Linked DNA regions of Saccharomyces cerevisiae S288C. The gene in region 3 interacts genetically with the main gene of each other region. Each region holds a gene or a part of one and is shown on either strand. Other genes may lie near its edges.

Region 1 (3,572 bases), on a different chromosome or scaffold from region 3:
TTTTATATTTAATAACTAACATTTTTATCAACGATGGAATTCCAACAGCTTTACTAATCTTTACTTGTAATTTGGCTTTTTAGATCTATAATATTTATTGTATGGAAAGTAGCATCCAACCAAATCCCGCGAAGTTTTCCTGATTTACATAACAAGCAAATACTAAAAACGTTAACACACATGTGCTTCTTTATTGTAAAGAAACCTCCATCATCCTCTTTTGTAACTTGGTCCTACAATAAATTTATCCAGTGTGACAGCTTTATAGGAGGCGTAAAGTAGTCTCATGAAGTAGATGAGTCTTGTTCACCATATTTTTCTTCTCGACTGCGAATTAACACTGTTCTTTGATGTTAGAACAATTTAGGTTCAAAGTACGAGTCACGACATGTAACAAGGGAAAAAAAGGATATTCATTTCAATAAAGTTCGTTTTATAAAAGTATAGTACTTGTGAGAGAAAGTAGGTTTATACATAATTTTACAACTCATTACGCACACTCATGGTTTTTGGCCAGCGAAAACAGTTTCAAAAGATTGCTGGAAGTCTGCAATAATGTCATCAATAAATTCGATACCAACAGAGACACGAATTAAGTCCTTGGTAACACCAGATGCCAACTTTTCTTTGTCATTTAATTGTTTGTGGGTAGTGAAGTATGGAGCAATGACTAAGGTCTTGGCATCACCAACATTGGCCAAGTTAGAGGCAAGCTTTAAATTGTCAACAACTTGAGCACCAGAAAGTTTGAATGGGTCAGTTTCCTTGTCGGCATTTGGTAAGTCTTTTACACCGAAAGATAAGACACCACCGAAACCGTTAGATAGATACTTCTTAGCATTTTCATGATGAGAATGAGATGCTAAACCAGGGTATGAAACCCAAGATACGTATGGGGATTGTTCTAACCATTTGGCTAACTTCAATGCATTTTCACCGTGTCTTTCAGCTCTCAAAGATAATGTTTCAACACCTTGTAGTAGCAAGAAAGAGGCAAATGGGTTCATCAATGGACCCAAATCTCTTAATAGTTCAGTTCTAACATGAACGATGTATGCCAAGTTACCGTAGGCTTCATTGTAGATAGTACCGTGATATCCTTCGGCAGGTTGAGAGAATTGAGGGAACTTTTCTGGGTAGTCCTTCCATGGGAACTTACCAGAGTCAACAATAATACCACCGATAGTAGTACCATGACCACCAATCCATTTGGTAGCAGAATGTGTTACAATATCAGCACCGTATTTAATTGGCTGACAGAAGTAACCACCGGCACCAAATGTGTTGTCAACGACAACTGGAATACCGTGTTTGTGAGCAATTGCAACAATTTTTTCAAAATCCGGAACATTGTACTTTGGATTACCAATGGTTTCCAAATAAACAGCCTTGGTTCTTTCATCAAAGACCTTTTCGAATTCTTCTGGATTGTCACCTTCAACAAATCTAGCCTCGATACCAAATCTTTTGAACGAGATTTTGAACTGGTTATAAGTACCACCGTATAAGTAAGAAGTGGAAACGATGTTGTCACCAGTGTGTGCCAAACCTTGGATGGCAAGGGTTTGAGCGGCTTGACCGGAGGAAACAGCCAAAGCAGCAGCACCACCTTCTAAAGCAGCAATTCTTTCTTCCAAAACATTACTGGTTGGGTTTTGGAAACGGGAATAGACGTAACCTGGAACTTCTAGACCAAACAATTGCGAACCATGCTTAGAGTTTTCGAAAACATAAGAAGTGGTGGCGTAAATTGGTACAGCTCTGGATCTGTGAGCATTGTCACCAGGGTTCTCTTGGCCGGCGTGTAGTTGAACAGTATCGAAATGAGATGGCATTGTATGGATGGGGGTAATAGAATTGTATCTATGTATCTGACGACCCTGTATTACACGAAGGAAATAGTAGATGAAAAGACAAGAGAGCAAGAAAAAGGAAAAACTTCCTTTCTAACAGACGCTTTACTTAACCTTATATATATCTTATTTTTTTCATCGAGCGTGTTCAATTGGACAAGGTGCCACCTTTTCGACACTTCGGTTATTATGTTACACAGTTTTCATGAGGATGGCGCCTTGACTAACTTAATTAGTCATTTGCCAACCACCACAGTTCCCCAATATCGACAGCTTCACGTGCCATTTGCCATTTTGCGATCATGTGACCTCAAGAGAAAAAGCAAAAAATAATGAGAGCTAAGGGATTCGAACCCTTGCATCCGAAGATATCAGAGATTTTAGAGGTTAAATCCACCTAAATCTGACGCCTTAAACCACTCGGCCAAACTCCCATTGTATGTTGGAAGAATTGGATTTAAATGTCTATTATAGCATTAAATATCTTTAAATACATTCAAGAAATGGCGAAATTATTTCTTAGTGTTGGAATAAAAATCAACTATCATCTACTAACTAGTATTTACGTTACTAGTATATTATCATATACGGTGTTAGAAGATGACGCAAATGATGAGAAATAGTCATCTAAATTAGTGGAAGCTGAAACGCAAGGATTGATAATGTAATAGGATCAATGAATATTAACATATAAAACGATGATAATAATATTTATAGAATTGTGTAGAATTGCAGATTCCCTTTTATGGATTCCTAAATCCTCGAGGAGAACTTCTAGTATATTCTACATACCTAATATTATTGCCTTATTAAAAATGGAATCCCAACAATTATCTCAAAATTCACCAAATTTTCACTTAGGTATTTTCTTTTATAAAGTCTATCGTTATAAAAATACTATATAGATCCCATAGGTGCTTATTATAGCAGCAGAAGAAAGTAGAAAACGATTTATTCTCCTTTATTAAGCGTGATATTCAATAACTTCCCAGTTCAACCCATTGCTGGTTACAGTGGAACCTTTCTTCAAATTTTCGTAGCTTTGTGGAATTTTGTTTACTTCCTTACCGTAGCTTAATAAGAACTCAGATTTACCTGAATCTTTTTCAAGTAATCTGATGAAGTTCAAGCCTTCAATAGTGTTATTATTCTTTTGGGACAAAAACCCTTGAATCCATCTACCAATAACAATAACCAAACCATCATAAGCTTCGTCAGTAACTTTGAGGACAATTGACCTAGCATTCGACGAGAACTTCTCATTGTTTGGTGAGACGATGACTAGATCTTCTCTTGATGGGTCAACTGGTTGCCACAATTCTCTGAAAGAGACGCTTTCTTTGTCGGCACCGAATGGGTAAACAGCGCCTGTTTCCTCGACACAACCAGAATCCCAATTTTTCCAAGTGGTGTTCACTTCGCCACGATGGGTGTTTGGAACGTTCAAGTACACATTTGTATCCAACCAGAAATTGAAATCTTGAGTAACGACACCGTTTCCTTGATCATTAGCTTTAACTGTTTCGTTTGTACCGGCAAAGGCCCATTCGAAAGGAAAAGATAACTCATCACCGCTTGGCTTAACAAATGGTCTCAAGGAAATATAGTGCCCATCAGTTGAAACAGAGGATAAGGTGAATGTTCTTTCGTTTGGATGAGGACCCACTTGAAACAATAATCTTTTTAATAATGCTGGCATTGTAACTTAATTTTTTGTTT
Region 2 (3,555 bases), on a different chromosome or scaffold from region 3:
GTCTTTTGTTTCAGCTATATAATGCGTTTATAGCTCTAATTGTGGTCGAATAGGAAGAATTTGCGTTAACACCCGTAACTAGCTTTCCATCTGTAATAGAGTAGTCATCCCAGGGATGGATTGGCGCCAAGTACTTGGCTCCATTCTTGTTTGCAACGCGTTCAACCGTTGTCAATTTTCTGCTCCTCAAGATGTCGTCAACTCCCAGGGCGATTTCACCCTCGAGTGGGAAACCTGTTATAGCTTTGCCTTCGATTAATGGTCTTGTTGTTTTGATATCTATTAATCCATCGAAAAGGAGCGGTCCATGACAGATGGCAGCGATCACACCCCCATTGGCATATATCTTGGATGCAATATCTTGCAGATTTTTAGCTTTGGGATAGTCAAATAGAGCACCATGTCCAGCAGATGCAAAGAATACTTTATAGTCGCTGGCGTTGACTTCATTTGCGGTCTTGATCCTCGCTAACGCCTTATTGAAGGCGGAATTTTTCGTTTCAAAGTTCATCTTATCTTCGCCACCAATAAAGCTCTTTGGCAAGTAATGTTCATCCCAGCCAAATCCACCAGTCTCAGAAACGAAGTCCACTTCGAAACCATGCTTTTCGAATGTATCGAACGATCGCAAAATCTCAACTACAAAAACGCCTGTTTTCGCACCATCTTTGTAGAAGGGACCGTGGTATGAAGTAAGAGATATTAGCGCTCTTTTTGGAGTCATTGCAAGGCCAGTTTTCTTTTTGAATGAAGGAGAAAAGTGTTCTAGAAATATGTTTTAGTTCTAAGTATCGTTGTCTGGAGCAAGCAAAGAAAAGCAGACCTGTATGTGCAACTTTCCTGTTTTCCATTAAAATCTCAAGAACCGACCCCTTGACTGTGCTCATATATCAAGTATCGGTTTTAAAGTCCCCTAATTGTGATAATTGCAAGAACGACAGTCAGAAAGATATTTTTTTTTTTCTTTCTCTTTACCTATCCTCCATAAAAATACCTATGCTGATACTGAATATCTTCATTTGCAGCTATGCAATATTTCAGATACCCCATTTTACCCAAGAGTTTCTTACTGGTGGTTGGATTTTCTTTAAGACGAGAAGATTACCAGTCCTGGATGTTCGTGAATGTGCCTATTGCGTCATCAGCGACTCCGCGCCAAGAAAAGAAATACTCGCATGCTCGGATTTATAGAATCGCATAATGGAAATACCTTCCTTAAAGGATGGAGATAAGGAAAAAATGACAAGAACAAGGAAGTACTTGGGAGCTTTCTCCGACATGGTAAATATTTGAAACTCACGCAGCTCTCCTGGAAAGTTGGATCTGGAAAGGTAAGGTTGTTTTTTTTACAGACATCAACCAAAATCGGTTCTTGTAGTAGACAATGTCACAGATCGCCACAAGTTGAAAAAAAAGTTTCGATGAACTGGATAAGGGGAGAGGTCACAAACAAAGTGTAGGGGGTGAGTAGTATAGTGGTAACTTGTTCATTTACCTAAATAACATTCTCACTAGAAAAGAGATATTGAAAGACTCCTCGTTTACCTAACTTGGCTGGTTCTTAGGTATATAATAGAAACATGGATCTGGCAGGTTATCACTTACAGTTTGCACTCCCACCAGGTTACAATTTTCATTATATATAGTTATTTTTTACCACCACTTCTTCTTCTTTCACTTTGTCTTGCAATAGAAATACCAAAACAAGGTGAGGAAAAAATCGAATCTCAACGATAAAAATATGTCCATCACGAAGGTACATGCTAGAACGGTGTATGATTCTCGCGGCAATCCGACTGTTGAGGTTGAAATTACAACAGAGAATGGTCTCTTCAGAGCGATCGTCCCATCTGGTGCCTCCACCGGCATTCACGAAGCTGTTGAACTTAGAGACGGGAACAAGTCCGAATGGATGGGAAAAGGGGTGACCAAGGCAGTCAGTAACGTCAATAGTATCATAGGGCCTGCTTTAATCAAGTCCGAATTATGTGTAACCAATCAGAAGGGCATAGACGAGCTCATGATATCGTTAGACGGAACTTCTAACAAGTCAAGGTTGGGCGCCAATGCTATCCTTGGTGTTTCCTTGTGCGTTGCTCGAGCTGCTGCCGCACAAAAGGGAATTACTCTCTACAAGTATATAGCCGAGTTAGCGGATGCTAGACAGGACCCCTTTGTTATTCCTGTTCCTTTTTTCAATGTTTTGAATGGTGGAGCCCACGCCGGTGGCTCTTTAGCTATGCAAGAATTCAAGATCGCGCCAGTCGGGGCTCAGAGCTTTGCAGAAGCCATGAGGATGGGTTCGGAAGTTTACCATCATTTGAAGATATTGGCGAAGGAGCAATATGGACCTTCCGCTGGAAATGTTGGTGACGAGGGTGGAGTTGCCCCCGATATTGACACTGCCGAAGACGCCTTGGACATGATTGTGGAAGCCATTAACATATGCGGTTACGAGGGTAGAGTGAAAGTAGGAATCGATAGTGCTCCTTCTGTTTTTTATAAGGACGGGAAATACGACCTAAATTTCAAGGAACCGAACTCTGACCCATCTCACTGGCTCAGTCCAGCCCAGTTAGCAGAATATTACCATTCATTGCTAAAGAAATACCCAATCATTTCCCTGGAAGATCCCTACGCCGAAGATGATTGGTCCTCGTGGTCTGCCTTCCTAAAGACTGTCAATGTTCAGATTATTGCAGATGACCTGACATGCACCAACAAGACCAGGATCGCCCGTGCTATAGAGGAGAAATGTGCGAATACTCTGTTGCTGAAACTCAACCAGATCGGTACTCTGACTGAGTCTATTGAAGCCGCCAATCAGGCTTTCGATGCTGGATGGGGTGTAATGATATCGCATAGATCAGGTGAAACCGAAGATCCGTTTATCGCTGATTTGGTCGTTGGTTTAAGATGTGGTCAAATTAAATCGGGCGCTTTGTCGAGATCAGAAAGACTGGCCAAGTATAATGAACTTTTGCGTATCGAAGAGGAACTGGGGGACGATTGTATATATGCTGGTCATAGGTTTCATGATGGAAACAAACTATAAAGGATTGTCTTGTTTCCTTTTTTTTTTTTTTTTTTTTGTTTTTTTATGACTAAATAAAGTAAATCATATGAGGTTTTATTTTTTATTTCGTTGATTTGGGTTACAGTATGGAAATGGGGCATTTGACACAAGTTATTTTATTCATATGTTTTATCTTGTAGGAAATCAAACCGTTTTTAAAGTTTTCCATTGCCTACACACAAAATCATTACGAATCTGTCTGAACAAGGGTGGACGTGTGGGGGAAGGCTGTTCCAATCAAGAAATGCTTACAACTCTACTAACACTGCAGTTTTTCAGCTTTCTGATTAATCTCTTCGGTTTAAATTTTTTAGCAGCTATTACTTTCTAGTAACCCTTATAACGCGGTTGGTATCAAATCTTCCTGATAGTACAAGCAGACCTTTGACCCCATTCTTGTTGTGTCTTGAAATCTTTTTTTCTGACAAAAGTAAGAAGTTACACCATAATAGAGAAGTTAAATAATGAAAGTGTATCGA
Region 3 (6,361 bases):
ATACATTAGGGTTCAATGTGCTTTAATAGATGATGATACTAAATACTTATACTTTGAAATAACTTAATCAATGTAAATTATTGTCTTGATTCATTTATACTTAAATTTTTATATCTCAACATATGATATATCCTTACATTAAGACTTATTCAAGAAACATTTTTCAACGATAATTATTAGTAGGCTAAAAATGGCATAGGAACCAGAAAATAATGTTGAAGAAATGAAGCCATCTGTTTAATATTTGGGGAAAAAAGTGAAGAAATTAACGAATATGTGCATATATATATATATATATATATATATATATATTGCACAGGTGATTTTGATGTAGAATGTAGCCTTTTCGAAAGAGTAATTTGGTTTTATCTACAGAGTTCCGAAACATTGTTAAGTGCCTGTTCTTATATAATTAAACTGTACTTTCTGTAAAAGTCAATTTGTGGCTGGCGCATCCACGGTATACCAATGGTTCCGTGTAATTCGATATTGACTAAGAACCAAAAAGAAATGCTTTAATCCTTGTATTGTCCAAATCCCCCACCACCAGGGGTTTTAATGATGAATCGATCACCGGGTTGAGCGTAAATCGTATTTTTACCGCCGACATTGATTAATGCGCCTGTGCTATGTCTTACCCATAAATTCTCACCTCTACTACCGTCTTGTCCTCCCTTTATACCATGAGGGCCAATGACACGACGTTCTGATAATATAGATGCTGTTACAGCCTTCCGAAATTGAACATCCCTTACTACGCCATTTCCGCCAGTATATTTACCTTTGCCTCCTGAACCTCTTCTGATCGAGAACTCTTTCAACAGAACGGGGTATCTCCTTTCAAATACCTCAGTATCTGTCATTCTTGTATTGGTCATATTCGTGTGTACAGCGTCTGAGCCATTCCAACCACTTCCTCTCCATGAATCTGCACCAGCCCCCGAGCCGCCACATATGGTTTCATAATATCCAAAGCCTTTGATCTGCTTATCGGTTTTGTTACCAGAATTTCCTCCAGTTCCAAATGTAAAGTTGTTACAGTCACCTTGAGAATCTGCCATGACGTTAAATGTTTTTAAGATTACATCTGTCACTCTTTGGGAAGTTAATACATTGCCTCCGACAACAGCAGCACCGGATCGGGGGCTCAAGAGGGAACCAGCAGGAATTTTTATTGTTAAGGGTTTTAAACAACCTTGATTTAAAGGAATATCTTCGCCTACTAGACACCGTAGACAATAAAGAATCGCAGAATTAGTAATAGCCTCTGGTGCATTTAAATTACCATAAACTTGGGGAGAAGTGCCATCGAAATTAAAAATATACTCCTCTTTTTCAGGTCTTATGATAACTTGTAGTTTAATTAAGCTTCCATCATCTAAGCGATCTTCGCCAGAAAACTTCGTTGTGCCAAAATGTTCAACCATTTTTGCAAGCATTTTTTTTATGGATTCAGATGCATTTGTCTGAATTGCAGCCATGTATTTCAATATTGTAGCCAGATCATATTCCTTAGTTAATGACCCAATTAACTGTATCCCTTTTGTGTTAGCTGCGACTTGCGCTTTTAAATCGCTTATGTTATCACTAAATCTTCTTGAACCTGAGCAGCCTGGGTATTTGCCTGGATCTTCTACGAAAAGCTTGTAAATTAATTCTTCCTGGAAAATTCCCTCTTTGACAACCAATTCGGAATAAATTGCGGTTCCTTCTTCGTACAATTCTTTGGAATTTGGAGGCACTGAACCGGGTAGAATACCTCCAATATCTGCATGATGGGCTCTTGAAGCCACATAAAATATCAATTCGCCAGTTGAAGAGAAAGAAGGAGTTATTACTGTTATGTCTGGTAAATGAGTACCACCAATATCCGGATGGTTTGTGATTAAAACATCACCAGGCTTTAATTTGCCTTCCCATAACTTCGCCTGTGCTGATATGCAGGTTGACATTGATCCTAAGTGAACAGGTACATGAGGAGCGTTAGCGACTAAGTTTCCTTTAGAGTCGAATAGTGCACATGAAAAATCTAATCTCTCTTTGACGTTAGTTGAAACAGAAGTTTTCCTCAATTGAGTACCCATCTGGAGGGCGATATCCATAAACCTATGACTGAAAATAGACAATAAGATTGGATCTATATCAAGTTCATATCCGCTTTTAGATAATGTCTTCGCAGCCTTTTGGTTGATCTTGATAAATATATGAGAGTTTAAAATTGTTGCTTGGCTGTTTGGTAAAATAATATTTGTTTGGGTACCGTCAGCCAATATGGCTGGGCCCTCGATAATTGTTCCGGCAGGAAGATCATCAATTTTGAAGACCGCAGTGTCGACCCATTTGTTGTCAAAATATGCTTTCTGGGTAAAACTAGCATCCTTTGACACGTCGGCTTTCTTGAAATGGGAAATTTCAATCAATTGCTCATCAACCGTTTTTTCTTTTCTAACGCCTGATTTCCCAATTGCTCTTATCCTTATATCATCAATTATAATTCGTTTGTCATCGAATGAGAATCCGAACTCTTTTTTATGAGCTTCAGAGAACCATTCCCTAAAATTCCATTGGTCATCATATTTTTGTAATATCATCAAACTGGTTTCAGTACCTTCATATCTGAGATTTAAATATCTTTCCAAGACTATGTCCTCCCGAGAAAACGACTGAGATAAAAGGTTTTTGATTGAATTTTTAGAAAGTTCTAAGAATCTTTTTTTCACTTTCAAGATGGTCTCTGGCTCACCCAAGATAAAAGAGCAAGGCTCTTGGTTTTCTTCAATAACATCTGCTAAGAAAATGCCATAAGCGGACAAGATAGAAGAATATCTATGAATTAAAACAGTGTCAATGCCCAATGAATCTGCAACCGCTATGGCGTGTTGCCCGCCAGCCCCGCCAAAGGAAACTAACCGATGCTGAGATACTACATGTCCTTTTGCTTCTGTAATGGCCCTCACAGGTCTTGCCATGCATTCGTTAGCTACTTTGATAAATCCATAGGCAACCTCTTCCATGGTTAGATTTGAATTCAGATCCTTATTGATGACATCTGTTAATTCTCTGAATTTCAAAGTAGTGGTTTCTAAGTCAAGTGATTCATCCTCATTGGGCCCAAAAATTTTGGGGAAGAACTCAGGAACCAAACGTCCTAAAAAGAGGTTGGCGTCTGTAATGGTCAAAGGCCCGCCCTTTCTGTAGGCTGCAGGGCCTGGATCAGCAGCTGCTGAATCAGGGCCTACTCTGAATAACCCGTTTTTCCATGACAAAATAGAACTTCCTCCAGCAGCAACAGTATGGATGTCAAGTTGAGGAGATTGTATGATGATCCCTGCGGTAACAGTTTCAAAAACATGTTCTAACCTCCCATCGCCGTACCTACTGACATCAGTAGATGTTCCTCCCATGTCAAAGCCTATTAAGGGTATGTTATTATTTTTATCATAGCATGTACTAGAATAACCTATTACGCCACCTGCAGGACCAGATAAAATAGATTTCAAACCGGAAAATTTTCCCCCATCCACTAAACCACCATCAGACTGCATGAATTGAATGTGGGTATCTTCTGCGTGGCTCAAACCTGCAGAAATGCTATTCAAGTACTTTTTAATTACCGGAGTAAGGTAGGCATCTGCGACAGAACTGTGAGCCCTCGGTAAAAATTTTATCATTGGAGAGACTTCAGATGATAATGAAACATGAGAAAACCCAATCTCCCTGGCAATATTACCAACAATTCGCTCATGGTCTGGAAAAGTGTATGAGTGTAAAAATGCTATCGCAATAGACTTGATTCCGCTAGCATAAAGCACTTTCAGAATAGATCTTACGCTTGATTCATCTGGCTTCTTTATGACCCTTACCATTTCGCCACTATTACCTTCCAGGATACCTTCTTGTTCATTAGGAGACGATTTGGTAAAATAAGGGTCTTCCGAGAAATCTTCTAAAGTAACTCTCTCATCTATTTCAACTACAGTGTCATATAATGGCACTACCTTTTTTATATTTAAGTTGAAGATATCTGGCCTGGTTTGGTCTCCAATCAGCAATGAATCCTTAAAGCCTTTCGTAGTAATGAAGGCACAACGTTCACCATTTCTTTCTAGAGCGCAGTTTGTAGCTAGGGTTGTCCCCATTCTTAAACTTCTCACATTAGAGATGTCTAGAGGAATACCGCGAGGAATTGTCTTGTGTTCAAGCACCTCCAAGAGACGTCTTATGCCTTCAAGGGGAGCATCTGGATAGTTTTTGGGATCCACCGACAAGAGCTTGATGACAGTATCATGTTCTTGTTTACCTGTACCAATATTCCCCACACAATCAGTGAAAGTTCCACCCTTATCGATGGCAATTCTTATGTTTCCTTTCTGCATTGTATACCAAGAAGTTATATTTAGGTTTTCAATGCTCAAAATTATTACTGTTTAAGTTCAGTTCTTAGTTTTTGGCATTCTTTCTTCAACACCACGTAACATTTGATCTTATCTTTCTTTTCAGTGGTAATGTTATGGCGATCGTGCTCAATCGGAAAAGCACCTGAGGCAAACAAAACAATTGTTGAAGTATTCATGCAAATAATACTGAATAGAGCGGAGTACGCTTGTTCTTAATTCCAGAGATTGGTAAAGTGTTTATCATTGCTACCCTCTAGAAATAAAAATTAATTATTTAGGTAAAAAGTAGTACTGAGGTTTCATATCTGTAGACTGATGGAGTAAAAAAACATTGAAAAGACTATAAAGAAATTATAAGTAGATACACAATTGCTTAACCTTTCATGTAAGCATCTAATTCAGCGTCAAGAGCTTCGACAGAAGTAGGAGTGTTATTCTTCTCACGGCCCTTGTTCTTTTTGGAGACTCTGTTAGGCTTTTGGCGATAATGGCTCCCTGGCCTGCCTCTTCCGTGTTCTTGAGCCGTCTGTTTGCGACGGTTGTGGGCATTCATTCTAGAATGCTTTCTCTGTGGTTGGTAAATCTCCACTTCAATTTTTGCATTATGTAACTCATGTCCATTATAACGCTCGACAATCTTTTCCAAAACTTCTGGGTCTTCAAATTCGTAAATACATGTACGATCCTCTTTATTGTCAAAAATTTTCGAAAATATTGGCGAGCCAAACTCTTTAATCATATCATCGAGGGTGTAGTCAGAAACGTCTAGTGGGATTTTGGATATTCTAATTCTCTTAGGCAAAGGAGGCTCTTCCCTCTCTCTATAAAGGCGATCTTTCGACCTTGATGCAGCATCCGAAGGCGCAAATCCCAGTCTAGGTCCTAATTCATTTCTTAAATCCCTTCTGCGGTATCTCGTTACCTTATGATTAGATGAGCTGTCTGTGTGACTATTTCCAATAATTTCGTCAAATGCTTTGTCCATTGCAAAATGCAGTATTGAATCGTCTAATGGAAAAGGTACTAGACGCTTATCGTTTCAGTTTTTTAGTCTTTTCCATCTATTTATCAGTCTGTACTCAAAATAACCTTATTGTATGTAACCTTTTTCATTTCACGATGATAATTTCTTGCCGAGTTAGACAGAAAATGACCGTGATAGTTTGTCATAATTTTCAATAGGGCAGAAAGAATTTTAAAGATTATTTGCTATCTAGACATTATGTGTTTTATATGATTGCTGTAAAAGTATTAGGAGAGATCGTCGAAAATATCCTTAAACCTTGGCACGTTCCCATAGCTCCTTTTGATGTTTGCAAGCCAAGTTACGGAGTTGGCAAATTGTCTTAATGTAGGTTCAACAGTAGCCAAATTTCCGTAAGCTACGGTTAGCCTATATGCGGCTTCTTCGCATTCTTGATACTCTTCCAATGGCCCATACTTGGTGTTGATGGCGTCAGCTACGATAGGCAAAAGTTCTAAATCAGAGTTCCCTTTCGTGACGAGAGCTGAATAGTTGAAAATTAGTGTGGAAACTGCAATAGCCAAATTCTGTGACTGTTTAGCAGATGCCTGAGAAAATTCAGTATCTATAGTCTCAAAAATTGATTTATAAACTTGATTTGATTCCAGTAATTTCACACCCCAGTTTTCATTATTGAAGCAATTTACCAAAATACGCACAGTTAACATGGTTAGAGTGATATTCTTATTGCCCAAGCCTTCTTCGATGTAATCTTTTATATCTGAAGAATAAGGTAATTTTTTTACAATCAATCGTACTATGTCGTATGCAGGAGTCTTAATTTCCCAGTTAGATCTTATAGTGTTAGCAAATGAAAGTAGCAACTCCCAGCTTTCATCTATGTCATGTAGTGCGCCACCAATTTGCGCCAGAATTTCATCATCAAAGGTCTTCTCATTTGAATTTATTTTTACTATTCCATTGAAAATAGTATCTGGGT

The links.
Region 1: of OXP1 (region 3) and MET17, extra expression of one rescues a mutant of the other (dosage rescue), as found in Saccharomyces cerevisiae (one study listed by BioGRID).
Region 2: mutations in OXP1 (region 3) and ERR1 together harm fitness more than expected from each alone (negative genetic interaction), as found in Saccharomyces cerevisiae (2 studies listed by BioGRID).

Annotation. Positions count from the first base shown.
Region 1 is NC_001144.5:730,805-734,376, reverse strand, and holds MET17 (bifunctional cysteine synthase/O-acetylhomoserine aminocarboxypropyltransferase MET17), read right to left. Parts: upstream 1,836-3,572; coding exon 501-1,835; downstream 1-500. Other genes in the region: YLR302C (uncharacterized protein), read left to right, coding at 1,824-2,186; HRI1 (Hri1p), read right to left, coding at 2,818-3,552. UniProt on the Saccharomyces cerevisiae protein: Catalyzes the conversion of O-acetyl-L-homoserine (OAH) into homocysteine in the methionine biosynthesis pathway. Required to efficiently reduce toxic levels of hydrogen sulfide generated when the sulfate assimilation pathway (SAP) is active.
Region 2 is NC_001147.6:1,078,535-1,082,089, forward strand, and holds ERR1 (phosphopyruvate hydratase ERR1), read left to right. Parts: upstream 1-1,741; coding exon 1,742-3,055; downstream 3,056-3,555. Other genes in the region: HSP33 (glutathione-independent methylglyoxalase family protein), read right to left, coding at 11-724.
Region 3 is NC_001143.9:26,312-32,672, forward strand, and holds OXP1 (5-oxoprolinase), read right to left. Parts: upstream 4,377-6,361; coding exon 516-4,376; downstream 1-515. Other genes in the region: YRA2 (Yra2p), read right to left, coding at 4,771-5,382; DOA1 (Doa1p), read right to left, coding at 5,649-6,361. UniProt on the Saccharomyces cerevisiae protein: Catalyzes the cleavage of 5-oxo-L-proline to form L-glutamate coupled to the hydrolysis of ATP to ADP and inorganic phosphate.